Linked DNA regions of Caenorhabditis elegans. The protein of the gene in region 4 interacts with the protein of the main gene of each other region in a pairwise test. Each region holds a gene or a part of one and is shown on either strand. Other genes may lie near its edges. The genes, in order: ztf-2, dmd-8, unc-98 and hlh-11.

Region 1 (6,563 bases), on a different chromosome or scaffold from region 4:
CAATCGGAAAAATTTGATTTCAAGAAAAAATGAAGCCGCATCATTCATTTTATTGTGATCCGCAGGCAGGTGACAACAAATAAATAATTAATCATAATTTTATGATTATGTTCCCTGTTTTCATTTCTTTTAAAATTTATAAGCAGCTGGAAATGTAAGAAAGAATGCTCGGAGAGCAAACTAAATGATTGTTATTTGTTTTTTTTTTTGACCACAAAGATGTTTACCAGTAACTACATATGATAAGTAACTACATAATCTGACCCTAAAACTTAAGTTTTTCAAAGAAAAACGAAACATTTCTAATTATAAAAGTTAATATTACTACTCAAAACGGATAGGACTAGTTTTATGTATTTGCATTTTCGTGTTAGCGAGAACTAAAATAAGTTGTACTTTTAATAGACTTTCAACAAATGCTTAACTACTCTTAAAGAATTGAGCTTAAATTGAAATCAAATGAAAACTATTTGTTGAATCACTACAGGCAATTTCCGAATAAGTCTAAAATTTAGTTAAAAATCTTTTTAATCCTCTAGAATAAAATTTTTCTGACATTCTAATATTTATGATCATGAACGTTGTCTATTGCTCTTTGATTTTTTTGAGGCGTTCTTCACATTCTAGTGCAGACGAAACGGAGCCAATTCTCAAACTTTAGAGTCTCTCTGAAATAAATGAAAAAATTGATGAAAAAACGACTACCATCTCCCTTAATTGTTCAATTTTTGAACGAGAGGCAATTTGTCTGAAAATCTGGAAAAAAAAAGTATTTGCATCAATTGCCCTTTTGTTGCCATTCGTGAAACTTGCACACTCAGCAGCAAGTGATTCCTCCAGCCCACACGTTTTCGGCGCAAAAGTGTAAGTGATAAGAGCTTCAACTGGTACCTCCTGGAACCGAGGAGCTGACAGTGCTGCTCTTTTTGGCAGAAACTAGCGAATGAGCACAAATGCACTTTTACTTTATCTAGGTTACTATAACCGATGCTTCTTCTATTACCTTTACTTCCTCCATTTTACTCCTAAAAACTGCTTGTCATGTGTTTGAACTGTGCGGGGCCGCCTTGAGGTCCTTTCCGACCATTCTGTACCAGGTTGTTCCTATTTGGATTTCCTCGAAGAAGTTGAGGGCGCGAGAAAAAACCGAATGGCTGCAGGAGACGCCGCGGCGATGGTGGTGGTTACGCAAACTGTGCTTGAGCAAACATGTGCCTGAATTGAAAAAGAGAAGAAGACGATGACGATTAGGAACAAGAAGGCATTGAAGACGTTGAAGAAGGTCATCTTTGAAATTATGTTCAAATATGTTTTGGTTCTAGTTACCCTAGATTTCAAAAATACTTGAAGTACTCTAGAAACCCGAGTTGATATTTGTAAGGTTTATGTTAAACTCTACGTCATATTTTGAGTAACTGCCTACCGTAGTTTTTACACTTATTTGAAAAGAAAAAAGCACCTAGCTACTTTTGTAAGTTCATATTCATTTTAGGGCTAACTTACCTGTGCCTGGTAAAAGCCCACAAGACGTCTAGAATTACTATTGCAGTCTTTTCAAATACGTTCTTTTCTGGAATGGTTCTTGTTGCCCTGGATTTCAAAAATTCTCTAGAAATCCGAGTTGGCAATTTCATGCTCGGAAAGTGCACTTTTTTTCGAAAGATGATCGCTCTCAATAATTAACCTTCATAATACACATCATACTCTTCTTTTTTGCATTCACTTACAGTAAGCACTAGATATCTCGGAATACTCTAGTTGGGTTTGAAAATCTCCACGGTCCCTTTTCTATTTTTCTAGCCGTCCCCTATATCCACCTACAGTAGCCTTTGCGCCTGTACCTCTGCAGCACTATGCCTAACTGGGAGCAGGTGAGCCAATACCAAATAACTTTCCCAAAACTCTTTCTCCTCCCATCAACGGTCATCCGATCTCAATATGGCCACGTCATGCTCCAACTTCACGTACGCTTTGGCTCAAAACGAGTTCACTGACCGAACTGTTTGTCCAACCAAAACCTTGTGGCCGAGCGCAAGAAAGAGTTGTGTGTTGCTGATATTTTGTAAAAAGTAAACGTATCCTCTTCCTCCTACTGCTGTTGCTGTGAAAGTCAGTCAGCCCCGGAAGTGAACAGTTCGCTGATGCGACGACCTCCCACCCTTCGGCCTCCTCCTCTTTTTCCCCCAACAAAACTTGTGTCAACATACTGTGGTAGGAGCGAAAAGGTACCGCGCGCCCCATCCGCATTTTGCCATATCCATTCCTTCCCGAATCGGCGCTTGCTTCCTGGTGACCCTTCCCTTATCTTGGAGCAACTTTCACTTTTTCCACTTCTTATCTCCAATTCTCTCGTCTTTCTAGACAAAATAGATATCAGAATGTTCCTCCAGTTCCAAGTACATTGATACTTTTTCTTTCTCCAAATTTTCCCACACCTTCTTTTCATTACTTTTTCTCATTCGTGGTCTACTCTTTCTTATTTTTGATCTCGGTTCAATATTAGAATCTGCAAACTTAACAACTGAAAAAATAACATTTCTAAACTTACTATAACATTTCCACTTTTTAATTGCATTCTTTAAATTTCGTAAATTTAAGATGAATTGTGAATCGTTGCTCACTGCCCTTGACGTATCCACTCTACTCTCAACTCTTTCCTCACCTGAAAAAGAACATCGTCGTAAAAGACGACGTGGTGAAGTAGCCAATCCATCAAACACTCTTGATGCTCTTGTTGCTCGCAAAGCCGACGATCAACCATTTGAAAAGAGATATCTAAGTGAACAAGAAGCAATTGAAGGACCAGATGATGAGATTGAAATGAAAAAAATGGAATTGGATCCTGATGTATCTACACGCACCTGCTCTACCTGTGGTTACCAAGGAAAATGGGTGTCTGAGATGATTCGTCATAAGAGAGTTCATACCAGTGAAAGACCATTCAAGTGTCGTTATTGCTCCAGAACCAGCAAGTGGAAGGCTGACCTTATTCGACATGTTGCAAGTGAGTTCATATTACTTTTCTATTACTTTAGGTATTTGAATTCGCTTTAAACCTTTTGTAATTCTGTCAGATTTGAAGTTTGGCAGCTTAGAACAATTTTTGAAATGTAATCAATTAGCTTCTGCTATACCTGAAAATGTATTCTCCAACCTCAATAATTTCAGAAACTCATGGAATCCGTGTTGTCTCCAAATACAGCCGTTCGAAAGTCTTCGATGCCACCAACAGTTCAATGGATTCTTCGTGTTCTTCAGACTCTGATCGATGCATAATTTCTGAAAAGAGAACAGTGTTCTATCGTTGCCAATTGTGCTCATTTGAAGATGAAAGAGTATCTGTATTGAACAGTCATGTAAGCCATCTTCACAACACCTCCCCATGTGTTTGTCGATGTGGCGCTAAATTTGAAGATGTCCAAGGAGCACTTGCTCATTCCAATGGTCCATGCTCCCATGTTGATATGATTTACAACGTTATGCCAACTTATGAGAAAGGTAAACCATAATTTTAAATAGTTTAATTTCATGATTTAAATTCCTTTTTTCAGCATCTCCATTATCCCCGTGCAGAAGCGAATCCTCATCAGACAGCGGAATTCAGACAGATCCTGAAGAAGAAGCATCGATTATTACATCATCCCTACCAACTCCTCAACTTGGATCATCACCTCTTCTGTTGTCACCAACACTTCCAGTCACTCCATCTTTCCTTCCAGACATTCAATCAGCTCTGCTGAGCCTTCAGCCAAATCCATTAATGTCATTATACTTGGCATCTCTCCTACAATCTTCCTTGTTGAATAGTCCAACTATTCCAACATCTTTTCCACAAATCATCCCAACTACGATACTTACACCTTCTCAACAAGATGAGATGGTTGACGTTGAGATGTAATTCTTAAGATCTTGAATCCATAATCTCAAAATTTATAATTAAAACAATTTATCACTTCTTTACTTGAATATCTCAGGTTCATATACTCGAACCAATATATTTTCTGTTCTACTTAGCCAATCACGCACACAAACCCCAAAAAAACCCCAAATCTTAGGTATCTACTCACATACGAATCTCGTCTCAACTCTCAGCTTCCTGGTGAATTCATATTTTCTTTGCTAATTTTATTTTCCTTATCTGTTTCTACTATACGAGTCATGTTTCTATCACACATCCCTCCATATTTCTCTATCACATTTTTCACCGATTTCTCTTTTTTTCGGGATTGTTCTTATTTATATCGTTACGAATATTTGGAAATATACGCTTGTTTAAAAAAGTATTATCACCACTGCATAAACTCATATTTTAAGCGATATTATTGATTTGTATTTGCTCGGCATTTAGTGCCTCCTTTCTCCCACCTTTTGAGGTCTTCTCACCTTCCGCCCACCTTTTTGCCACCTGCTCCCCACCTTTTGTAAAAATATCACAATTATTCAACAAATACTCGAAATTCAGTCGCGTTTGCCACCTTTCTCCCACCTATTGTGGTCTAAAACAGCAGCGGCAGCGTTCTGGTGACACCAAAACATGTATTTGTGATTTACAACAAAAAATCTCGATAAATAATTTTGAAAACAATAATTCTTACATTTCAAAATCTGCCTACACCAGACCTGGGAAACGCTTATTTTTCCTACCTCATTACTGCCAGTTCACTAACTTGCTTCTTATCTGGCCTGCCTACATACCTTCTTTGTTCCTGTCACGTCCGATTTTCCTTGGTTCGTCTAATTTCTTATTTTATCTAATTTATAAAACTGAATGTTTTTCTACCCGTCGATCAAAGCATTTCAAACACATAAACTATATTTCCGAAGTTATTCCATACATATAAGGCTTTTGTTTGATTCGATTTTTTTTAGGTGGCATTATTGAGGTTCGGATGTTAAACTATTCCTAAATCACGCCCACGTCTGAAATCTCCAATTTTATATTAGTATTATTTAATTATTTTGATCAACTTCACAGATCCATCCCGTCAAAACAACAAAATTTCGCTCATCAACTCATAGAACAGGCAGTGGCTATATCAGTAATGTATATTCTCAGAAGCAAGAACAAAATTTCACGGTTCACCGCTTTTTCTAGATTAATGTATACGTGAGTTTCACATGCTCCCATTTATAATTTCAAATTCTAGCACTGAACTATTAGATTCAAAATGTGCTTTAGTTGAATATCAATAATTTCTATCTAGGTACCAGCTATCATATGATAAGGTCCTTTGGGAAAAGAACACGAGAGCTCCGCCTGATATTTTGCTCATTTTATCATTATCGTGACAGACACGGAAGAAGTCATTTAAACCATTTTTCATTCTTGCTCTAAAATTCTTCTAAAGAAGCTCAACTTTTACCATGGATCTTTTTGGTTCAAGTTCGAATCGTTTTGTTCCAATAATCAACATCTACTTTCATTTCTACCTTGTTTCCGGTTTATTTTTTCAATGTATTCTGATGATTCTTATCATTCGAAAGTCTCCCAACAGCTTGAATGACCTCAAACTGTTTCTATACAACACGGCGTTTTGTCAGATTGCAAACATTCTTTCTGCTTATTTTATTCAATATAGGTTAAATAGTTTTTTATTGTTGAATGTCAGACCAATATTTACTTTTCTTGTTTCAGGGCGTTACCCAACACAACAACTCTAGCGGTTCTGGCAAATGGGCTGTGTAGGAAATTCGGACCGGAAGTCTGTTTTGGAACTTATCATGTTTATTTGGTGTGTTTGAAAAAATAACCTCTAAAGTTGCAATTAAAAAACATTCACTCACTATCAGCTCACTATCAGACACAATATATTTTTAACCAATTTTTTCTTATTTAGGGTATCAGCTCAAGTGTAGCTCTTTCCATTTCAACAACCGTTATGTTTCGATATTCTCTAATAAAAAACTGGCGTTTAAGCAGAACATCATTACGTGGATTGATTATATGTGGACATATTGCGCCGTTCATTGCTACAGTAAGACACTATTTTGTGCTCTTGTGCCCCATTACACAATTTCAGGCCATTCCTTTCACGACGCAATGGGATTTTGACGTTGTTCGTGCACAATCAGTGAAAGAGCATTCAACATATGATCTTTCTATTTATGCTCCATTTTCTGGATTTTCTGATACAAGATCTTTCCAATTCTTGTTTGTCACTGCGGCAATTGCTATTGGAGCATACTTTGTCCCTTTAATGTCGGTTTTTGTTATTCGGAAAATTATGATAGTGACCAAAGCTCATTCAAAAATGTCTGAAAACACTAAACGTCACACGAGGATGTTAATGAAGGTGGGAGGAATAATGAATTTTGATGTTTTACAAATCAAGCCGTTTTAAAAGTGGAGTACAGTGTATATGCTAAATTGACCTTTCTAATCGGAACTGTTATAAGCTTTCATTTTCCATAACTTTGGAAGTTGACTAAAAACAAAGAGAACGTTTTACCTACAAGTTGCATACTTCAATTATGTTTTCAAAATTTTGTATTTAATTACCATAGGGTACAAACCTGAAGAAAAACTCGAAAATTTTAAAATACCTTATATACTATTAAAGTAT
Region 2 (6,528 bases), on a different chromosome or scaffold from region 4:
CTTTCAGATAGGCGCCAATACAAGATCGTATATGTTTTAAAAGTTTCATGAAAAATATTCATTACTGCAAAAGGTTCAAAATACATTGCCTACCAACCTACCTACCAACCTGAAATTCCAAAGCAGGCACCGGCAGGAAAGTAGGCTGGTTGAAAAGCTGGTAACTGGTAGAAAAATAACAGATTTTCGGAAATATTTCTTACATTTCTTATTTTTATTAATTCTTAAAATATAAATATTTTTTGAAAATTTAAAAATAAGTCAAAAATAAATATTTTGAGCATCCGTCTATCTTTTTTATACCTAATTTTAAAACCGTGACAATAATGTCAATTTGTCCGGAAAAAATTGACATTTTCCAAAATTTTGATAGGAAAAAACCCGCATTTTGTGTGAAAAATTCCATAATCAACAATTTTCGATAAGGATACATAGAGAAGAAGGGAAATTTTATAACACCAAAAAACAAATTTGCAGAACCTGAGCATTTGGCGTGCTAGCCTAAGATTGCCTACTGCCACCACACCCTGAAGGCGCGTAGGTAGGCAGGCACGCAGGCATGATGTCGTGGCGAGCACCGAACAATAAAAAACCAAAGTAAATCCAATTAAAGTTACTCAAACGTAATTTATTTTATACTACCTGACTTCCTCACGTCATCTCAAAAATCACAAGCTCTATGTGATTCTCAAAACCGGCATTCCATTTTTCTTTTACGAAGACGATACTAAAAACATTTTTTATTGATAAAGCTGATAAGAAACTTATGAAATCACTAGTACCGGCTCGAGTCGTTAACAAGAACATTTTCTCGGGTGACTCAGGATTCAGGTTGGGCACTGAAACATTGATAAGCAATAGAATTTGATATGACGTCTCGAGGGCACGATCGTGACATGACTTCTTTCTTTATTTGTGATTTGTGAAGACAACGAGAACTTCTAGGAAGCAGCCGACACTTTACAGTTCGCTTTTTATAAGAGATTTTTTGAAGAGATACAAAAAAACAGGTCATGTTAACCGAAACAAAATTTCTAATTTTTTAAAGATTTATTTTAAATTTTTCAAAAATTGAAAAAAATCTGATTGTGAGATTTCACTGGTAAATGAATTTTTCGGCCATTTTTTTCAAATTTTCAACCATTGTCATTAAAGGAAACTTGACAGGCCGAAAGGAATTGGGTGAAACTCTAAAACTGGCCTGAACTTAACATTAATTTTTTTGCTGTAAAATGCATGCAAATTTGACAGATCACGTCTCAAATAAAAAATCAAAAAAAGTGAAACTGCTCAATTTAGCCGGAAAGCTTATTTTTGGAATAGCAAAATTTGAAAAAAAATTACAAAAAATTCTACAAAATATATATTTGAATTTTAACATTTAGTTTTTTTTTAATATATGGGATTGCTTCCTGACGTTTTATGCAAAAAAGGCCGTGAAATTTCTAAATCCAAGCTTAATTCCAGATATGGTGGCTGAAAATTCGGAAAATTCTCTGTAAAAACCGTGACTTTATAATTCAATTTCTAGTCGAGTCATAAATTGATAAGAGTACAATTTTATTAATTTATCACTTTTGCAGAATCAAAAAAAAGTTTTTGGAAATATAAAACACAAAAACATCAAAATATTATTATCATCATGTTTGAACTGAAAACCCGCACAGCTTAAAATTTCGATGGGGTTTTTACTCTTTTTGAGGTGCAACTGGGAAGGAACTAGAGTTTTACAGGGAAAAGACAATAAATCACAGATTGGAAATTGTTTTTTTTTTTGAAAAATTAAAAAGAAAAATCAATCGGTTTCAGCGCAGCTAATTGCAGCGCTAAGCTCACGGATATTCTGAAAATTTTGAAAGTTCTGGAACAACATTTGCATTCCGATAGGGGTCATCAGGAGAGGATTCGGGAAAAGAGTTGGAGCAGCTCCGTACATAAGCGGAGCCGTGAAAAATGGTGAGGCCGCGGTGGACATGAGAGAGGGTACGGTAAGAAATGAAAGCGGTAGGCTTGATGGAGCAAGTTGTGGAAGAGCAATTGGTGAATGCGGAAGGAGAAGCGGCATTGGAGATGTTGTCTGAAAAAAATTTAATTTAGAAATTTTAGAAATTCTGGAAAAAACCTTTTAGAGCAGTTTTTAGGACGAGACTAGTGCATGCCTACATGCCTACATACCTACATGCCTACATGCCTACATGCCTACATGCCTACATGCCTACATGCCTACATGCCTACATGCCTACAGGTTTACATACATACATGCCTACATGCCTACATGCCTACATGCCCACATGCCTTTTCAGGTTCAAGCTGTACCTGAAAAAATTTTCAGAAAATCTGAACCTCACCTCAAATGGAGAACCAGCCGGACTAGTGCTTGCATTTGCCGAAGTCGCTGCAGGAATCATAAATCCCCCGGCACTGAAGTCGAATTTCATCTGAACCTGCGGAGCCATGTTCAACTTCTCTGATAGCATTCCAGATAGCGAGCAATCCGAGGATGAAGCCGACTCGTCCGAATTGCAGCCCGAAGAAGATGAGAGTGACGATGATGAAGCCGTGGTGGAGCCCTCTTTTTTGGGACTTTTCGGTGCGATAGCTTCAACCGTGTTGCCCTTTATGCTCATTTTTCGCTTCTTAATATGCCGGTCCAGGGCACGACGGGAATCAATCAAGTTACACTGTTGGCATTCGCAGCTGGAATATTGGCACTCCTTTTTGTGATTTTTCTTCCAGACGAGCACATTGTGATTCTTGCATTTTTGGCAGAAATAGCACATGTTCATGTTCTCCATGACAGCTTTTTCATCTGCCTCCCCACCTGTGAAGCCTGGGAACACGTTGGCCTCGCTGATATCATTGGTACGCTGAAACACGGGGATAGTTAGGAAAATTAGGAAAAAAATCACAAGGTACCTGGAACTTCTTGTCTTGCTCTCGTCGGAGACGAATCTGAGTTGACATGATCTCCCGTCGCTTACGGACCAAGTCACACTGCTCACACTCGCAACTTCTATATTCGCAGGTGTGCCCGCGCGTCTCTACGAAAACTCCATGCTGCTTGCACATTCCACAGTGCCGTTTCACATCTGAAAATTTAACAAAAAATAAAACTATGTTAGGCGTAGGCCATACTAATTTCTGAAAAAAAATCAGCAGCCGACAGTTAACCAACCATACATTTTTCTACTGACCCTTTCTCGTGAAACCAATTAACTGTCGGCTGCTAAGAAGCTATAGCTCACCTTTCGGGATCCTTTTCCCTTGGCTGAAAAATCTCTGTGCTCCAACATCCGGGGAGAGGCTGTTGTTTGGTGAAAGCCCTTCTGGAGCACTGAGCGATGAGGCATTTGAAGAAGATGACAGGGAAGATGAGGACATGATCAGGTAAGTCTGAAATTTTCCATTTTTCAAGAGTTGGAAAAGTTGAAGCACAAAATGAAATTGTGAGGGCTACAAGATAAGGGATGCTTGAGCTTGATGACCTGATTGGCTGAAATTTTATAGACACTGCGTCAATGGAATATTTACAGTACTTTCAGTCACTTGTCTGAAAAAAAATCTTGTGACATGTTTTACTAGTCGCCTGATAAGGCCCTGGGGGCTATATAGACGATGCTTTCAGAGAAATTTTCAGGGAAAGCATAAGCAAAACAGGAAGTTGTAGAGGCTTGGGCGCGTGACCGAAGTTTTTCTAGTTTTCTTCGGCCACCAAAAATTTCCCTTATCTACAGTAACCTAGCTCCCCTTGGAGCAAAAAAGCTATCGAAATGAATTCACAAATGAAATGGAATCGAAATAAATAAATAAAATTTCATCCGCCTTTCCCATCTTCAATCCAGGAATGAAAGATTTTCTGTATCTGCCGGCTCCGCCTCTTTCTTGAATATCCCTGATTGCTGTCTAACCATGTCTAACGTCTCCGCCATCCCTCCCCACTCATTCGAGAAAATTCGCCGTAAACATTCTATTTTGGCTCTGCGGAGCTATGACGGAATTCTCATGTCGATGGGGGAAATTACGTAGATTCGCAGTTTGCGTAGATAAGGAGGGGCAATCCGGTCGGGGTTTTACGCGGATCAGTATGGAGCAACTGAGCAGTTGGACTAAAAGCCGATTTATTTCATTTTGTTCACAAAAAGGTGGTGCTCATCTCGTTTTGAAAACACTCGAATTTTTTAAAACTTGAAAAACTTGCTGGCCGACGCCTATGACATATGCCTATGACCTCCACCTATGGCCAACGCCTATGGCCTACGCCTACTGCCTACGCCTATGACCCACGCCTACTGCCTACGCCTATGACCTACACTTATGGCTAATGGCCTACGCCTATGGTCTACGCCTACGAAACCTTGGAAAATTCAAAGTTGAGCAAGCTGAAAATCATTGCAAAATGTTTCATAACAACCACAAAAAAACACTAAAACTAAAAAGATTTTCAGAAGTTTCAACAAATCGGATGACAAATTGTGTCGAAAATCAATCGCTCAGAGTGGTTTCAAATTTTGTGTGGAAAATATAAGAAAATCTGTAGCGGATTTTGACGATTGCTAATCTTTTTCTCGCATTGCTTAGCCCTTGTGTTTGAATTATTAGGCGATTTAAATCCATTTCTGTGATTGCCTTTATCATGCTTTTTTTGTTTTGAATGATTTTTTTTCTTTTTCTAAATAATGGAATAATTTTTTAAAATGTTTTTTCTAAACAATGAAATTCGATCTAAATTTGAAAAGGAGCCTGGCAAGCAAGCCCGAAAGCCTCGTTCACCGACTCCAATGCACCAAATTTTACACGCAAGGTTAAAAAAAAATTCTGTACCGTCCTCGATCACTGTCGGCTGCACAAAAAAAACATTTTTTCCAGTAAAAAAAATGTTTAAAAAAACTATACTAAAACATGTAGGAACTAGTTGTTTTATACTAGTTTATGCTCATTTGGGAAATGCTCATTTCTGATCGACAAGTTTTGTTTTTTTGCCACCGTCTAGACGCTCTACCGTAATCTTTGAAGAATTCTTGCTCCCACCGGGGAAATCTATATTTTGTCACGTGGAATAGGGGTAATAGGAAAACATAGAATGCAACAAGATTTCTTGGAGGTAGGTAGAAAGCCTGAAAAAAATCAACCCATAAGAAAAATTCTTGGAAAAAATTAATGAAGTTACATTTTTTTATTTTCCAAAAAAAACCTGCACTCCTAAAAATAACCATACCTAGTGACATTGGTTTTGACACCAATAACGTCAAAATTCAATCTGCTTATCATTTTTGATAGCTCCAAGCCACGTTGTTCGAAAGTACCTGGATAAGCACCGGCTTGACTCGGTCAAGTCAAATTTTTGCGTCACTGGATAAGATGGTTCAAAATGCGATGCTGGCCAATGCTATTCATAAAAATTTCAAAAGTTTTGAGAGATCACTGGTTTTCCTGAGTTTTCATGTAGAAGATGCAGTCGGGCCAGCTAAGAAATTGTTAAAAACCACTCCTATTGTGTAAAATGACAAAATACCAAAATAAAAATTTTCAAAACAATTTTAAAAAAATTTATGGACAGTCAAAAAAAGCAATTATTGAGTTTTGCCCCATATATTTGACTCATAAGTAGACTAAAAAAGCTCGAAGAAATTTATTTTTACTTTTAAAATTTGATTTTCGAAAAAGTGGCAAAAATTGTGATATTGCCAGTTTTCAAAAAAACAACTCTATATTTAATTTTTTTTAACATTTAAAAACATACATATTGTTTTTAGAAATTTTTTCTAACTTTAGACTTATATGTATTATATGTACACGTTTCTGATCGCTTGTCCAAAATTGTTCTAGACACCGCGAGACACTACTGGTCCCCCGTGATTTGGGTACGTTTCACAAAACATGATTGTCTGGAGGGTTACTGACATGATTCCTGTTTTGACAAACATTTTTGAAAAAAATCAATTTTTGGTGGTTTTTATTCAAATTTGAAAGTAAAAAAACACTAAAGTTATGAGAAATTTAGTTTTTATAAAAATGAAACATTTTAAGTTCAAATAATTTTTTTTCGGAAAAAAAGTTGAAACCCCCTAATTTAAAAAATTTTATTCAAAAAAATTAAAACTTTTAATTTGAATTTTTGCAAGATTTTTTAAAATAAAATTTTGAGTTTCCTTAAAAAATCAAACTTGTCGTTCAATTTCAAAATTTGTGCAATTTTTTCCGCCAATTTTTTTTTCTGAAATATTAAATGCTGATTTTCTCGAAAAAATAGCCACGGGAATTTAATTTCTGAATTTTTTGTAAAAAGTTTAATTCCTTACTAAAGTTGTTTTAAAAATTTAAATTTAATTTTCCTGTCGAAATTTTGAAAAATTAGAATTTGAATGGTCTCGCAGCGAACTCTCGAAAAATTTAATAGTGAGGCAAAATTGAACATGGGCATACTGATTAATAACAAAAATCAAAAGCCCAAATTTCACCTGCCAAAATTATATTTATTTTTTGGGTTTCCACAGTTTTAAGAAAAAAAATGTGTGTAGTATGATGGTA
Region 3 (8,298 bases), on a different chromosome or scaffold from region 4:
GAAGTGCCTTCAAAACAATATTATATTTTTTAAAAATCAATCCACTACACAAATATCATTGTTTAACCACTCATCACTCACCTTCTTGTCACTAATTTGATAAATAAGACCTGTTCTATCGTCAATTGAGTACAGTTTACCATTGAAGACGGCAAGGTCAGACAACTCCATAGCGCGTCCACCGGCGGCAATATTTCTAAAATGATGATTTTAGTAATGAAGTCAAAACAAAAAAATCTATAAAAACACATTTTGTAAACTTACGTGTCAACATAGTACTCCGAGTCTTTGTCAAAATGAATATCGGCATGCTTGTGGTCTGCAGAAACCTGAAATATAAATTTGAAAATTTCCTATAGCGATTCGAAAAAAGCAAGTTGCATTTTATAAAAATCATATTGGTCAAGCTGAGCATAATGCATTAGTTTCTTGCCGTCCTTCTCACCTTCAAAAATCCACGAGAGACCAAACTTTTCCACTTCTTCCCGTCTTTGCTGTCATGATCCAAATCGGTGATCAACATTATTGAGTATTCTTTTGCTCCATCATCAAACTTCTTTACCGAATACAAGTTAGCATGGTTGATGTGCTGTAAATGGATATGTGCGCAATCAGCTGAAAATGTAAAGAGTTACCTCTTCCTGTTCGCTAGATTTGTTGAATTGGGTACCCGAATAAAAGGCAATAGCGGTCACAAACCCGAAAAGAAGGAAGTTGAAAAAGTTTGAGTTACTTTCTTGTGTCATACCTAAAAATTATTTTTGTGAGTCTTAATTATAAGCATTAATTGAAAGTAAGAGATTTGAGAAAATATAAGTAGAATAAAAAAATAAAAAATGGTGTAGTTTTCCGAGAGTACTTCACGGCCGCGTGGCCTAGTTTTTTCAATGGGGACTCGATATTAATAACGAACACAAGTGCGTGTCCCAAATTGCATTTGCTTTATTGAGTGAGATATCGTGGCTGTGAAGTGGCAAAATATTTCGAGAACCGTTAATTAAACAATTTTATACATTTTTAAATAATGAATTCAAAATGATGCAAAATAAATTTAAAAAAACGTACAACTTCTAGAACAACGAACAATTGAGCTGTCTCGCTATCATCATCTTATCATTTTTGCTATCAAAAAATCGGTTGTGGGTTGTCGTAACACATCACAGAAGAAAGATTGATTGTGAGAGAGCCGGACAACATTTGTGCTAGCGGTCAATGTCTTTCCCGCTTAACATGGTCCCAATTGTACGATTGACCAGGAATCGATATTTCAGGGAAAGAAGAAAATACCAACAAGACATGACGAGAACAGTATTTATAGAGTGTGTCTGAGTGCGTTGGAAACACACGATTTTTGTGCTTTGTAGTCAATTGTAGTTTATGTTGAACACAAAACGAGTTTCTGCTGCTGACCGTCTTTATAACGAGCGTCTTAAAAATGTGAGGAAAAGACAAAATGACAAGAAATGAGAAAACGATAACACTAAAGAAAAACGTTGATTTAGTTGAAAGAAAGAAATATGAGTTATATGAAAGAACCATATCGAATATACATTTTGAAGGACAAATATTGTTAAAGCTAGCCGATGTTGAAATATATATATATTTTACAAGATCTGGATAGATTTAAATACTAAATTAGAAAAATTTTAAATACTCAGGGGTTGCTCAGAATCGCGGAGTCACGTATCCGCTTGTTCTTGGGAATAAATAGTAGCTTCTGGAATCAGTGTACCCAACTCCTTCCCTTCCCATCATATAACGAGATGCTCGAGGATTGAAGTACTTCTCTCCACGATGACTGTACATGTGATATGCAAGACCACGACTGTCAGAGTAGCTTTTCGAACAATATTCACAAATGTATGGTTTTGAACGAACGTCGTTGTACACTCGGAGTGGATGCTTCGGCTCGTATCCTTCAGTAACGAAAGCTGGCTGTGGAAGATCTTGCTCGGAGACCGGTAGGACTCGCTTCTTGCTTACTTTTATTGTGGTTGTCTGAAGTATTTCAAATTATATTGGTAATCTTCATTCTTCTCACAAATGTATTCCTTGTTAAAGTAAAAAAACGGTTTCGGCTTTTTTTCCGTGTGATTTTTAACAAAACCAAACGAACGAAATTTGAAATACTACTTCTCAAAAATTACTTAAAAACTTGTTTATGGGGGTTCAAAATTTTGAAAAGGCAATACCCAAATTTCAGTCAAAAACTCGAGTTGTTTCAATTTTTCCCAGTCACAAAGACTTAGGTAGCAAATTGTGGTAATTTTTGGTCCCTAATTGCTTGAAACGTATCTTCATTAACAAAACAACGTAAGGTAAACGACCAAAACATGTTTTTAAATTTGGAACTTTCTTCGGTTTCATAACTTCTGTTTCATAACGTTTTCTTTTTTTTGCACTGAAATTCCATCTGTTTAACAGTTGTGATGCAAGAAGTAAGTGCAGTCGTATCAAATTGCACCCTCTCACAGGCTATCAGCAATTTTTTTTTGTTGAGAAAAATATTTTTTTTACGTCAGAAAGCCAAGACACACAAAGTTTTTGTTCACAATTTTCTCACATCAAGGACTATGAAAACCAAATACAAAATTGAAAAGCGAATGGCTGGATGAAAAGGTTTTGATAGATTTTGAGTCGAAAGAACTGAAGAATAAAAAATCAAACATTAAAACAGCCATAGCTAGATTCTGTTGATTTTTTTCCGAGAAGTTCGTAATTCAGATTTTGTTTCAAAAAGCTCTACTGATTAGTAAAATCTAGTAAATTTATTATTTCTCAGATTTCTCAATTAGACAAACCTCTGGAGCACCTATCAATTCGAGTGGATCGTCCGTGTGCTTGTGATATAACATTTCCGTGTAAGAAAAGAACGTCCTTCCGCATTCACACTTGTACCCGTCAATTTCTGAGTGCTGAGCGGCATGATATTCCAGTTGGCAAGCAAATTCAAATGAGTCTCCGCATTTTCCACAGACATATGGCTGAAACAAAGAGTTTCTATAAGTAATCCAGCGAATGAAAACCTGTGAAACGTCATGTATTCTCTCGTGTGCACGGAGAGTGTTCATGAAGTTGAATGTGAGTCCGCAGAAACGACACTTGTAGAATACAAATCCGTTGTCATCTTTTTGCACACTAGTTCCGTCCTGACGCACTTCCTGCAATAATCACTTTTCATCGACTAAAAGAGTCTCTTTTTCATTTAACGCCTTCTTCATTCCCTCCCTTCTTCAGTTTTTCCTTCATCTTATATTTTTCTTCCTTTTATTCCCATTTCCCTCATTCTTTCACATTCAAGCTGTCAATGCTCACATCTATATTCCGCACATTTGGTTCGTGTGCTGAAAGTGAGCGCATCAACTTCAACAACAACAGCAAAATGTTTATTCACAAACAAGAGTAAGTCAACAATACCCATGTGAATTAGCTTGGGAAAGGAGAAGAATGGAAATGGATAGGTTGAAGGAAAAAAGCATAAGGAGCAGCAAGAAATTATATTCCAAGTTAGTATTTGAAAATGATAAGAGAAAAATAAAATCACAAACAACAAAAATCATAATTTGTTTTTTTTTCTTCTTAGCATCCTGCTGAGCTTTCTCTTCCAACAAATGTACAGGACATGGTTACTTCGACAATGGGCTAAATTTAAATTAAATTAGAACTGAGTTTGTCTTTGTGTATTCTGGCAAATAAGTTTTTACTAGTATGCTAATTATAAAATTAGAAAATAAAACCTTTTCTAAACTATCTAAAATTCAGCAAAAAATTAACAATTTCTCTCAAACAACTCAAAAAATATAGTTTCATTTTCTCCGGAAATTTTGCCTGTACAAACCTATAGACTACATTCCTAATCAATGTTTTTTTAATTAAAAATTATTCAAAGCACGAACTATTCAACAAAAAATGCACAAAAACACACACTTCATAAAAACAATAAAACAAACCTGTTGATCACTGCCATCCAAAGCACCGCCACTCGATTTTGTTGGAGTTTGAGCACTTGAACTTCCGACCTACAATAATTTACTTGATGCTTTTAAAATCAAATTAGGATGGCGCTGTTTTAAAGTATTTAAGCGTTTTCAGACACTATTCAGATAATTCAACATTTTTTCACTTGTATCCAAGGGTTGAAAAATGTCAGTATGAATCCAATCTTAAAAACATTTAAAAAAATTTGCCTTAAAACCTATCAAACATTTCAATCTCTGAAATTCTTTTTTTTAAATTTTACCAAACTCACATATGCTTCAACTGTTGGGGCAACAACTTTCATGATCTCTTTGGGCTTTTCCTTATTTCCATTTTCTGACGATTCTCCATTGATGCCGAAGGTTTCTAGACCATGAACCATCTGGAAGGTATTTTTTTAATCATTTCGCAATACAGACACCCCCGCGTTTTTCTCCGGTTTTTCCGTCATCTCTCGGTTTCTCTAACTCACTTCATTGTTCTTCACGGACATCTTGGCAAGATCACAGGCATTCATCAACTCTTCGAAGTCATCTCTTTCCTTTCTTGCCTAAAAAATTCAAATTTAAGTAAAGCTCACAGTGATCAAGAACAATACCTCTTTGAAGATGTCGTCATCCATTGTTGTATCTGGATATCAGCGGTTAGTCGTCGGAATGGGGGTGAAAATTGTCAGAGGGTAGAATGCTCGGTGTGGCTAGCTGGGGTGCTCAACACACAGTGTAAACTCAAGAGACTCGTCGCGATCGAAAAATGCGAGAAATCGCCTCTGCAATCTCTGGATCTGATGTGCTCTTTTGAAATGCTCCCGCTCTCTCATTTCCTTTCCTCGTTGGATGTTTTGCGGGACACTTCTGTGTCTGCAGTCTCCCTCAATCTTGCTCAACTGTCTTAAAGAAGAAAGAGATCTTGACGACACAAGTAAAAAAAGCGTCTAGATTGCAGTGCTCGACATAACTTCAAAGCGGAATCATGTTTCTGAAATGAATGGCACAGATGCTAGTGTTTGTGGGTGACATACATTTTGTGTAGTACGTTGAACACGTGCAAATGATTTGGAGATGTGGGTACAAACAAAAGAAAGAGTACTTTTTTTTTGAAATAATAATCGAAAAGGATCAACGAAGTTTATATTTTAGAAATTATTCAATATGAATTGTAAAAATATTAAATTACATACTGTAAAACTATTATTTGAAACTATGCAGGATTATGAAGCTATTGTTTTAAATGTGAAGCATCGGTCAGGGTGATTTTTTGTAATCACTCCTTTATACAGTGATAAATAATCTAAAATAATTTTGCTTTCAAAAAGGTAGTTATCATTCAGTTTTCACAAATCACAATCTTGGAACACGGCAAAAATAGTTTTTTCTACATACAAGTTTCATATTCTAACTATGATTTGATCATTTGTATATACATATATTGTAGACATTTAAAAAAATGCAGAATTGCTCTAATATTTTTCATAGGTTCAACTTATTCTAGTTGTGGCAATTTACCACAACTTTGAATGAAAATTCTCAAGAATCTAAACGGTTATGTGGGACTTTTATGACTTTTAATTGGAATAAACATTTTACTGGAGCTGCACCACCTTCTGGATTGATCGGATCTTTCTTTCATGCATCACAAGCGGGCTAAAAGTGCACCAATGTTGAAATTTTACACAACAAAAATGCATTTAATTGTTAAATTTTTAACAAGTATAAAGTAACCAGACCCTTTTTCATTAAAAAACAGTTTTCCGTATTTCCTCTATTAGTCTTGCAGCCTCTATTAGTCTTGCAGTCTCTAATAGTCTTGCATCCCTCTTTTTTCAAGACCAGTAGTACTTTGCGGAAACGTCAGCAAATTTGATATTTTTGAGAAAATAACCTAGAAAATGATCAAATAATTTATGAAATATTGCAAAAGTATATATTTTTATCGTTCAGCAAGCTATCGAGTTAAGTTTTCAACAAAAAATAGGTCATTTTTTCAAAGATGGGGCATTCGAAAACTAGTCTTGCAGCCTCTAATAGTCTTGCAACCCTACAGACCAATGGAAAATTAGTCTTGCATGCAAGACTAATAGAAGAAATACGGTATATGAAACAGTCTCACTACTCGGGCTAAATATAAAGTTTTAAAAGAGAACAAGCGACTCACTACGAAATTTGTTTTTTTTTTCCAGCACATTTTGAGTCAATACGTTTATACCACGAACCAATAGCCCTACTTTATAAAATCCTCTCTTGTCAGAAAAGCCGGACCTCCTAGATTTCCATACTTACTGTGTACTTGTGGCCTCACAAAAACTTCTTACATAAGTATCTTCCCTTATGGAACAGTAAAACTACATTATTACCGGTTAAACGTTCCCGCCCCGCCTTCGCAGCGTTTATTAGCTTTTTACCCCTTGATAAATTTCAAGGGGTAAAAAGCTAATAAACGAATAAATAAAAATTTAAAAAAACTGGTACATTTTAAAACGTTTTTATAGGATCAAATTATTGGTTCTTTTTTTAATACTACATTCGTTTTTAGTGTCAAATATTAATTTCATTTTGTGGGCAGAGGAACATTTTGAATATGAATTTAGAACAACGCACCATGTCTATATTTCCGGTTTCTTCGCGTTTATTATCAGAGAATTACCTGAAATCCATCACACTCGATATAAAATGCCTTAATTCATAACTTTTAAATTCAAATGACAAATTCTATCTATTTTTATTACCAAGTAACAGTCAACATATTTTGTCTAGTCCGTCAATGAAAACATTCCAACTTTCCGTCTCAAGTTGATGAATAACTATGAAAATGATTTTTTTAAAATCACCTTTATCGTTTTCCAATCCGAAAATTAAACTTTCAATCCGAATTCCATCTTTTCCAATAAACGTGCATTACCGCAGTGGTGGCCGCTATCAAATGCTATGAAATCAGAGTAGTTCCAGAGTCCAGAGTCTCATTTTTCATTCTTTTCTCTTCTTCTCATAAACAACTAATTTCTCTCCCAGCAAACCACCCTAACATTTTCTGTAATGGTTCCTCTTGACTTTTGCTCTTAATGCACTACACCGACTCGGCACGTCATATTTTCATGGTAGAGAGAAACATGAAAAAATGAACACGAAGAATGACCTTTTTGTATAGTGATTCTTTGAGTTGTATCTTTATCAGTTGGCCTCAATTCTTTCGTGTCAAAGAGAAGAAAGTGTGGACAGATTGAGGGGAAAATGAGATAAGAGAACGTTTGGCAAGCAATAATGGATGGGTCAATGAAACCTCTAAGAGTACAGATCTATTGCGTCAATTATGGCATGAATCAAATCACCTCACTAACTTTCGTTTTTTACCTTTGTACCGTTGGGTTTGGAGTTGTAATGGGTGTTCAAGAATCCTAACACTAGGAGCAAAACTTCTATCAGAAAAGTTGTGTAATAAAAATTTATCTTGCCGTTTTTTTTCAATTAAACTTTTGAGCAGTTGGGGTCAACCAACGGAATCTTATATATTTGAAGAAACTTTGGTGGCTCTGCAATAAAATAATTTACAAGGTGAAGTATGTGTTGTTATGATTAATAGTGTTTTCCAAACGTTATCAATGTATTTATCATTGGTATATCACATCCATTCTTTGAAATCTATGATCACTTAAAATAGTTTTTCAAAAATTTTCTTTGACGCGTATTGTTGATAACAACAATGACAGTACCACTTTGGCAAACAAGACTAATGAGATAAATACTATATACCTATGTAAATAAATAAAGTTTATCCAAAATTATCGTTCATAACAAGTGCTTTTTAAGATGTGGAATTTAAGTTTAGTTTTAATCTGACAATTTGTGTTTTTTTATAAGTTTTTAGAAATGCAAATGAAACTGCTATCATAATTTTGACTTATCAATTAAAAAAACTTTGACGTAACAATTAAAAGGCACACGTTGTTTTTGGGTCTCGCCACGATCTTATTCATAATGACCGCGTCAGGTGCCAAATTCTACAGACTTGTTAAAAGTGAAGTAGCACCACTAGGGAAGTTGTTAAAACTACTTATAAGGTGTCAGTTTAATCCAATATCAAAGTAAAATTTTCAAAAAGTTGTTGAAAAGTTGTTATTTTGTTTTAAAATGATCTTTACTAATTTCTTGCCACTGTTTTGGTAGTCTTCGATCAAACAATTTTACATTGGTATTTTATAGTCTACTAAGTAAGTAAGTAAGTAAGTACTTATGTTTCAACATTAATTTCAAATACAAATATTAATATTCCCCCATTGTAGGGATTCGAACATGCGGCAGTCTATAGTTTTCTCAAAAAAAAGCA
Region 4 (9,320 bases):
TGCAAATAGTGACACCAGTACTGACGTTGTTGTTCATCCATATAACTGGGTACTTTCTATGCAAAGACTTATTGAGAATCCTGGTAAGTTAATAAATTAAAAACGAAATGACAATGATTTATCGAAAAATCTATGAAAATTCCGCAACAACGAACGTTTGAAATTACAGTACCCTTAAAAGGCTCACATATATTCGCATTAAGTGAAAAAGACCGGGTACCGTCTCAATTTTTGTATCTGAGTAATAATAAAAAAAAGGAATTTCAAATAAATAGTTTTCAGATCATGTTGTTGTCCTCGATAATGCTGCACTGCACCGTCTTGCGGCTGGAAAATTCAAAACAGATACACCAACATTTGATCATATCAATTCTCTTGTCGCCCGAATCATGAGCACTTCCACTGCTCCATATCGATTCAACTCTGCAATGTGCCCATCAATTCGGTATTTGGATTTGGCTCCGTTTCCACCAATGCACTTTATTCAATCCGGTTTGTTTTTATTCCGAAATATGTTATTTTATCTATTTATTTTGTTTTTTGCAGCTATCTCTCCTGTTGTCGATCCAAATGAGAACTTTACCCGAAAAACTTCAGTCGCTGACGTCACTCGCTTCTTGTTAAAACCAACTTCAATGATGGTTTCAACTGCTTCTCGGGTTCGGCCAAATGACTGCATGCTATCAGCTTACATGTTCCTTCAAGGACAAATTGAGGCACATACAATTATGACTGCTGAGCAAAACGTTGATGTAAGCTCAATACTTTAAAGAATTTCCGGGAAAATTGAAAAATAAATTTACTAAATCAACCATAAAATTCAATTTTTATCAAATTTTGTTTATGTTCATGAAAACTATAAGAAAGCATATAAATATTTTCTAAAAATAAAAATAAGCAACTTTAAAAAATATTTTTCGAGATATCGGAAAAACGAAAAATTTTCGTAAGCTAATTTTGGAGATGTAGATTTTATTCTCAAAACACGAAGGCGGTCACAAATACCGAGATACTGCAAACGAAAAAAATCTTCAAATTACATTGCAAAAATGAGCGCTTATTTTGACGAATCAGCAATTGTGAAGCAAACTTTTTTAAAAAGTATTTTTGACATGAAGTAAAAAATTTTTAGAAACTTGGAAATTTGACAAAAGCGTGGCAATTCAAATAACACATTAGTCAGAAAATCAAAAATGCACCAATAAAATCACTATTTTAAAGACAAAATTAGTGATTAATAATGACTTTTTTTCGTTATTTTTCTATAATCCACCTTAAAGCATCAAATCAATAAAATCAAATTTCAGTTCGCAATCAGAAGGCCTCCATTCTACATGCTTAAACCACTTCGAATGATGCATGCTCCACTCTCTCCATATGTTCGGCCACAATACAAAGTATCTGGACTCTTGCTCAATAACAGCACAAGCGTGGCTCCGTTATTCGAATCGCTTCTCTCCAAATACGACAAACTACGATCAAAGAGAGCCTTCATCGACAAGTTTGAAAAGATTGACAATTTCTCGCTGGATATGATGGACGATGCAATGCACATTGTGCAAGACTTGCTGGACGAGTACAAGGCGGTCGTACAAAAGGACTATCTGACAAGAGGGCTTTAGATTTATTATTATTTATTCTCGCGGGATTCTCATTCACTTCTTAAAACGGATCTCTGTCGATTATCATATGCTGTGTTTATTGTATTATTTATATCATGTGCTCCTCATCATCATCATAATTTTCACATAAATATTGGTACTCTTGTCTCAGTGGTTGTACTATTGAGGTTTATTTAAATTATTTAGTTATGATTATTGCGCGATAGCAATAGAGAGACATATTGAGGTCTGAAAATGAAAGTGTTTCAAGCTGCACATACGGTCAACAAAACCACCGGGTGAAAAATGAAAAAAAGAGGAAATCGACACGATTTGTGTAAAAGTAACGGGGCAGTGTCTGGAGATGAACAAGACTGGAAAAAAAGGAAAATGAAAAAACAAAAAGTTATCGGTGGGGAGAACGAAACAATGGATAGGTCCGTGAGAGCGCGGGAAATAAGGAAGCTAGATTGATTAGAAGAAAAATGACAAGAAGACCACAATCGGCACAAAAAATTTTGGAAAAAAACATTTCATAGAAACACAACAAGTAGTATACCTAAAACAAGAAGAAAAATGGGAAAAGAACAAAAATTCATCAAATTTTGTGATAAAAATGATAGATACTGTGCCTGGTGAGAGAGAGAAAAAAGATGAAGAGCAAAAAACAGGATCAACCTGAAGAAAGAAAGAGAGAAAAAGAGAAAGAGAGAGAGATTATGAAACGTGGAAAATTTGATAATTGTATTTGTAATTGTAACTCTACATTTGTCAAAAGTCAGGCTCAACGGACGAGCGATGTCTGTGAGGTTGGTGGAGGAGATGTTGGAATGAAATGACTTCCCTCCAAATGACGAATAGCTTCAACAATTGTTTGCATTGATTGAGACAGGGTCAGGCTCGGTTGTGTGCTTCTGGAATTGATGGCAACATATTAATTTTTTTAAAAATTCGAAAAGTTTGCTCGAGAACTATTATGCAGACGTAGAAAATCTCCGCCCTCCATAGCTGGGTCTCGTTAGGTATTTGGCGGCAAATCCGTGAATTCAAACGTTTGTCATTAAATAATTGTACCAATTTTCAGGAGTTTTTCGTCGTTTTTCGTCTTTCGTTGTTTTTATTGGAAAAATGGTTGTTTTTATTGGAAAGTTTTTTTAAAATCAATTTGGCATACGTACCCAGAAAGACGCAAAATGTTCAAACATTGGCGAAACTAATAGAAAAAGTTTGAATTACTGGTTTGGCCCCCCAATACCTAACGAGACCCAGCTGTTGGGGGCGGTCCTCGATTTTACAAGGGGGATTTTTCTACGACCTCATAATAGCAATATTGCAACCTACAGTAACCACAACATTTTTTTTGACTGTATAGAGTATATTATAAAAAAGATTTAATTGAAATTTAATAATCAGCATAAAATAAATTTAAAAATTAAATTTATAACGAAGATTTGAATTCAGAAATTGAATTTTGAAAGTAGATCATTCCACATACAGCCTTCTTCTCTCAAAACAGAAAACTGAATTCATAATTTTTCCCCCATAAAATATACAGAACTCACACAAACGCAGAATTATGTCCCTGCAGATGATGTGGCAATGCGACGGGTGTCGAGTTACCGGTAGACATGGCCGAGGTGACCGCTGCCGCCGCTGTTTGGAACAAAATACTCGATTGAGTTGGAACTGCTGTTGAGAAGATTATTGGAGCGGCAGTCAAAGGTGATGGAGTTGACAGAGATGGTGATGATATTTCAACTTAAATGTTTATATATATTTATAGTCAAAAAGTTTTATTTGAATATTCCAGGGCTTCAAAAAATGCTACCATGCATTAGGCCTTAATACTCTAAATTTCCCAAAAGACCAAATTTTCCAAAAAAAAAATTTGGTAATTTACCAAAATATTGCCTGGAAATTTTGAAACATCTCAAACGTTTCATAGTGTTTTGTTTGGACATTCAATCTTTTTGAAACTAATTTTGAATATATCTTTCCAAAAATTACCTGATATTGGTGGTAGTGGTGTAGGACGGATAACAGTTGTCTCTAAACTTGGCAATGTTGGAGGCGGATGGAATATACGTTGAGACGCCAATGATTCAGAAGAAGTTGGACTACCGTTCAGTGTCAAAAGAGACAACGGAGTACTTGTTGTATCTTGAAATGATGGTTTCCTTTCCGGTGATTCTCGTAACGGAGTAGGAAGAGCCGATGAAGCATATGAAGATGGCAATGTGAAACCACCAGAACCATTAGATCTTGGTGTCACTGGTGACGATGCTTGCGATGATGTTGTCGTCATTTGGAGCAGCTCACGGAGCTGAATTACTTGACTCTCCAAAGCCTTACGGGCGGCTCGTTCAGTTTCTAATATTGTTTGGAGATGTGCTATTTGCGCTTGATGGTCAGCGTCGTGGTGATCTTCTGAAACAAAATTTAATTTGAACAGCTTATATTAATTTCAAGTTTGAACTGATTTAGGGTAGGCACGATTCAGTAAGATTTAGACTTCTTCAGGCCATTCTAGGCTGGAATTATTTTGTGGAATTTCAGAATTTCAGATTATCCAGATTTTTGTTGAAACACAGTTTCCATTCATCCTACTCCACTTTTCAAAAATATCAATAAGATATAAACTTACCTTCAAGTTTGAGTTTTTTGGGTTCTCCACCGTCAGGTATATCTTCTCCTTTGTGTCCCAAAAGTTGATGAACCATATCCGCAGTTTGCTGCAGAATAGCCGCCTTCGACAGCTTTTCTCCCTCTTTTCTGGGAAGTAAGGCTCTTAGAGCCAAGAATCCCGCATTGATGCTCTGCATCCGCCGCCGCTCGTTGCAATTGGCAATTTGCCGACGCATTCTGGATCTATACTATATAAAGTTACAGTACTCACCACCTTTCAGTGCTATAAAACTAACCTTCTGTCGGGGTCGAGCGACGTTGGTGAAAGTGGCGCCGGTTGGGATAGTGACCGGTTGGCGAGCATTGGTGCATGCCCAATCGTCGAGGTAGGCAAGACAGAACGCAACGAATTCTGCATTCCAGAAGCCGTCAAATCAAATGCCGAAGCAGCTGACATGATGGATGGTGGTGCCATTCGTGCATTTGTCACGGAATTCCAGTCGGCGATAGTCACGGGCAATGCACCTGTACCCGAACTCATCATCTCCTCGTCCTCTTCAGTTAGATCAAATCTGCAAAAATGTGTTCGTAGATGAGGTTGTTCAAGAAGCGAAATTTATCAAATAATTTGGGGCCAATTAACTTCAACTTTCCAATTAATGCCTTCTCAAGACGCAAGCTTTTTCGTGAATATCTTCATATTTTTCTATTCTACAACTACAGTACAGTACTCCTTTGAGGATAGAGAAAAAACATATTTTTTAAAAATTGGAAATTCACAAAGTCGTTTTAAATTATTATAAATGCATTTTAAAAAAAAATTCCAAAAGTGATAAAACACATTTTAGACCTTAAATTTGAACTTTGCCGACAATGGGTAACATTTGAACTAATATTAAAATAACTCTAGCTTTAGTTGTTCTGATTTTTATATTGATCTTTTCATCTACAATTAGAACCTATCAATTCAATAAATGCCACGATTCCACAAAAAAAAAGAAAGAAAATGGGATAAATTAGCTTCAATTTAACATCTCAATATTTCTGTTCCAAAAATTATGAGAAATTATTAGTACAAATTGCCACATGCAGTTTTAGAATTGAGGAAAAGTTCATCTGCGTCTCTATATTGTGTTTTTCTCTAAAAGCCAGGTGTTCTTGTTGCGTGTCACTGAGAACGAATTGAAAGCCATGGGAAATTATTTGAATTTTATTTATTGAAAAGTTACTGTAGACTTAACACTTCACTTGGAAACTTGATAGGTTTAGAGGGAGCAAAAAAAGTTTATTTTCGAATTATTTTCAGATTTTAATACTTTCATCAAATGAGAGTCTGATCCTGGATATATATATATATATAGTAGGCAGGCACGTCTTCAGACCGCCTGCCTAGTCGCCTAGAAGGCGGGAATTCAACCATATTATGATTATAAGCAAAACTCGGCTTAGACTTATGTCAATACATTACTTTTCGAATGTTTCTTCTTAAAACCATGAGCAAAAAATGTAGTACAAAAATCCTTACCCATCATCAATGATGATTTGATCTTCTTCTGCGCTATCCGAACGAACCATTTTCTACTATTGATCTACCTGAAAAAAATTTTCTTTTTTGATTTTTGAGGTTCTCGAATTGAAATTCTATTTGTTCCTTATTCTCTCTTTTTCCGACAAAAGTTTCCCGAAACCCGTAACTCTTATCACCTTTCCCCCACTATGTTGGCTGACTGGCTGACATGCCATTTTCTTTGTAGAATCAAAGAAGATAGGCTCTTTTCCCAGCTGAAAATCTTTGTGATAAGCAACACTTGGGGGCAAAGATAACAATGATTATACCACGAATTATTTGAAATAAGAAATAAATACTTACTGTTAGTACTACGGAGACTACGAAGGGACGATGGGAGCCGTCTGGATTACCTGAAACTTTACAAAATTGGAATTATTTGCGACAAAAAACCAACAGCTGATGCTTCACGAAAATTCTTGAAGGGGAAAGATCGAAAAAAAAAAGAGTTTGTCAGTGTGTCATATGGCATGTTTTACACAGACACATGAGGGGAAAGAGGAAGCAATCGAGGGTCGAAACACACCGACTTATAATTCAAAATCGGGCAGTTCGTCTATTTCATACGGTAGGTACCAATGTATATGTAAATTAAATGAAAAAGGCGTGAGGAAGAGGGCAGTTTCAGTGTAGCAGATGAAATAGGTTTTAAATGTATAGAAAATAGAAAAACTGAAGGGTTTATAATTGAAAAAATGAGAGGGAAAGAACAGGTGATCCATTTTCAGGTGTTTAATGCAACAACTTTTACTTAAAATGTTTCATGATACTAATTTGAATGATCAGAGTTTGGGAGTAATCGAAACATCAGAACATTGCCAAAATTGGAATTAGAAACCGAAAGTTTCTTGTAATGAAATTATTTTTAACTGACGATGAGCTTATCTCGTGAAGCCGACAGAGTCCATGTTTTAATAACAATCAGTTCTCTATAAATTTGCAGAATCACAAAACGTCTTTCAAAAGTTACAAACGGACTTGCTCAGATTCTCTCTTGATAAAATATGAAGAACCAAGAATAAATCGGTCTTAAAAAAAAAAAAAGAAAGAAAAAAAAAAGAATTTAAGGCTAGATTTCAAGATTTCACCCCAAGAAATGAAATATGAGCTCTTGATGTTTTGATCTTTCTACTTTCTTAAAAAACCGAGAAAAAATGTTGATTAGCGATTTATCGGAGAAACGAGAGAGCGATGAACACACAAACTGATTCTCAAACGGAATGGAGAAGACAAAACAGAAAAAAATATCAACAAAAAATTGGTTCCAACTTCCTTGAGCTTATAGACGATAGCCAATTGCACTTACCATATGTTTTTTACAATGAGGGCTCCCTGGAACCCATTGACAAGTCAACAAAAAGCAGTTGACCAGTTAGTTTAAGAATTCTTGGTAATTACGAAAAGTTAGTTACTTCTCACATAATAATCATAAAACTAAAAAAGAAACAAAAGTTTGATCAGCTGTAGTGTGCAAGTGTACGGGATGATCTAGTTGGTCAAGTTTGGCATTTATGGGAGAACAGCTGGGCACATAGAGCAACACGCAAAGTATCTAAAGTTAGAAAACATTTGGTAGTAGATTTATGAAATACTTAATAGAACATAGGTTAATAGAGTCTAATCGTGAAAATATTGGAGATTTCAGAGGAAGATTTCTCAATTTTTGGAGGCAATTTCCTGCCTAAATTTTTGTGTATAACATACATATAAAGTTCGTCCATAGTTTTGGCAAAACTTCGGAAAAACTTGGTCAAGATTTAGTTGAAACCGCGTTAAAGGTTGGGAACAATTTTTCATAGTCATACTCACTATAGTTCTTATAAGATCACAAAACATCACCAAAATCGGCAAAGAGATCAGTTCAAAGGCGTAGTAAAAGAGAAAGACACTGAACAAAACGACATCGAGAACTATTCGGACGGTAATGATCTGTTATCATTCAAAATAAAGGTTAAGGGATTTTGTTGCGATCTTCCCCATCAACCGATCCAAGAAACATTTTCTGAAGGGATCCTGAGAATTAGAGACAGATGGATGGATGGGGAAAACACCTGATGGCGCGGCCCCCAGTTTTGTTGGTTGGGGTCACAAACAGCTGTGAGTGGAGTGAGAGAGGGAGAGAGTGATTTAAGAAGATTTGGACGCAACGGAGAAACAGACGGAGAAAAGTTTGCAGTTCGCGTCTCGTTTCGTTTCGAGACCTTGTCTAGCGAAGGGGCAAACGTAAACGCTCGTTTCCGATGATACGGTAGGCGCGAGCCAGACAGTGAGTGAGATAAGAGATAAAATAATTTATCGGGGGGAAGACAAAGAAAGCTAAAAGATAAAAAGAAACATAACAACATATGGAATCATAACAAACTTGAGGCAGAAAATCAGAAATCTAGGAAGAACGATATGATGGTCGAGTACAGTAAGATCATAGAGGTAGACCCCCTCTAAAATTGTGGGGACTTACTGTTTTCTACTCCCGCAATTTTTGGAGGTCAAATGGAAAGAGGGTTCACCTGAATACTCGTAATAATGGGTACTATATTAATATTATTAACTTTTTCATAGATTTTTCCAAACAAGAGGAAACTTGTTGATCAAAAAAATGGAACTCTTACCATATGGAATTCAATATGAAACATGTTGCAAATAAATGTCGTCACAGACGCAAGGGTGTGTGTGATTTGACAGAATAGGTCAGGTGTTCAATCGCGACTAGATTTAGATATTGGGGTACACAACCGAAAAAACGAGACGATCGAAATACGTTCGTCGGCGGGACGAGAGATGGGGGAGCCGGGCGCGAAGAGAGACTGCGAGACAAATAGACATATACACAGGCTGACTGACTGGCTGACTGGGCTGGGGGGGGACGACGCTCCGAATCATTTGGGAGAAAAAAGTTTTTCGCGGCGGCGACGACGACGAAGACAGCGGTGGTGGTGGTGGACTGATCGGTTTGCTGCAGCAACACAGGCAACATGGGGTTGAGATGAGAAAGGGAGAAATTGGAAAAAAAAGAGATGGAAAAGAGAAGAAGGAGCTGACGAGAAACACACCACACTCACACACACACACTCACATAAATGTTAAAGGCCAGCAGCAGCGCCTCAATGGTCTTAGGGGTTGAGGGAGCGGGCGCCTCCTTCTCTCTCTCTATTGCTTACTCTCTCATGTTCACTATCTCTCTATATCTCACAATTTCTCTATACTTTTCCTATTTCTTCGTTTCTCTGTAGCTCTCGTCGCAAAAAAGGAGGCGAAGCGCCGAACATATCTCTGCGTCTCTGACGCACTCGTTCGACGATCATCAGGCTTTCGGAGAGGAGGAAACGAGAGAAACGATGGGCACGTGGATGGGCACCGACGGGGTCGGGATGCCATCGACATGTGTTTTTGGTCGGATGATCTTCGAGGTTGAGTTGGCGCCAGGATGTGGAAGAGGATTGGTGAAGGATGTTCGAATCAAACAGATGGGAATATTGGTCACTAGATCATAGATAATTTGCAAGATGTCCATCAGGAACTACACAGTA

What was found.
Region 1: the proteins of hlh-11 (region 4) and ztf-2 interact in a two-hybrid assay, tested with the Caenorhabditis elegans proteins (one large-scale study listed by BioGRID).
Region 2: the proteins of hlh-11 (region 4) and dmd-8 interact in a two-hybrid assay, tested with the Caenorhabditis elegans proteins (one large-scale study listed by BioGRID).
Region 3: the proteins of hlh-11 (region 4) and unc-98 interact in a two-hybrid assay, tested with the Caenorhabditis elegans proteins (one large-scale study listed by BioGRID).

The regions. Positions count from the first base shown.
Region 1 is NC_003279.8:7,288,674-7,295,236, forward strand, and holds ztf-2 (Zinc finger protein ztf-2), read left to right. Parts: upstream 1-2,598; coding exon 2,599-3,004; intron 3,005-3,168; coding exon 3,169-3,498; intron 3,499-3,551; coding exon 3,552-3,898; 3' UTR 3,899-4,279; downstream 4,280-6,563. Other genes in the region: srd-53 (Serpentine Receptor, class D (Delta)), read left to right, coding at 5,365-5,579, 5,636-5,732, 5,838-5,975, 6,021-6,293. UniProt on the Caenorhabditis elegans protein: Transcription factor. Represses gene expression, probably via binding to DNA consensus sequence 5'-[AT][CT]TTCC[AC][AG]-3' in promoter regions. May play a role in pharynx morphogenesis.
Region 2 is NC_003283.11:333,058-339,585, forward strand, and holds dmd-8 (DM domain-containing protein), read right to left. Parts: upstream 3,394-6,528; 5' UTR 3,382-3,393; coding exon 3,246-3,381; intron 3,090-3,245; coding exon 2,917-3,089; intron 2,868-2,916; coding exon 2,349-2,867; intron 2,078-2,348; coding exon 1,796-2,077; 3' UTR 1,544-1,795; downstream 1-1,543.
Region 3 is NC_003284.9:7,568,975-7,577,272, forward strand, and holds unc-98 (Zinc finger protein unc-98), read right to left. Parts: upstream 4,616-8,298; 5' UTR 4,601-4,615; coding exon 4,577-4,600; intron 4,529-4,576; coding exon 4,451-4,528; intron 4,361-4,450; coding exon 4,250-4,360; intron 4,020-4,249; coding exon 3,951-4,019; intron 3,403-3,950; coding exon of another isoform or gene 3,383-3,402; intron 3,162-3,382; coding exon 3,027-3,161; intron 2,985-3,026; coding exon 2,802-2,984; intron 1,999-2,801; coding exon 1,666-1,998; 3' UTR 1,400-1,665; downstream 1-1,399. Other genes in the region: Apyrase apy-1, read right to left, coding at 1-7, 82-196, 265-329, 446-589, 636-746; pcyt-1 (Putative choline-phosphate cytidylyltransferase), read left to right, coding at 3,383-3,402. UniProt on the Caenorhabditis elegans protein: Probable transcription factor required for muscle structure.
Region 4 is NC_003281.10:9,618,979-9,628,298, reverse strand, and holds hlh-11 (Helix-loop-helix protein 11), read right to left. Parts: upstream 6,153-9,320; 5' UTR 6,097-6,152; intron 6,032-6,096; exon of another isoform or gene 5,889-6,031; intron 5,820-5,888; 5' UTR 5,802-5,819; coding exon 5,752-5,801; intron 4,799-5,751; coding exon 4,523-4,798; intron 4,475-4,522; coding exon of another isoform or gene 4,470-4,474; coding exon 4,246-4,469; intron 4,029-4,245; coding exon 3,609-4,028; intron 3,360-3,608; coding exon 3,164-3,359; intron 2,975-3,163; exon of another isoform or gene 2,826-2,974; intron 2,516-2,825; coding exon 2,386-2,515; 3' UTR 1,771-2,385; downstream 1-1,770. Other genes in the region: tbg-1 (Tubulin gamma chain), read left to right, coding at 1-83, 283-492, 547-752, 1,308-1,622. UniProt on the Caenorhabditis elegans protein: Transcriptional regulator. Component of a feedback loop involving atfs-1, atgl-1 and hlh-11.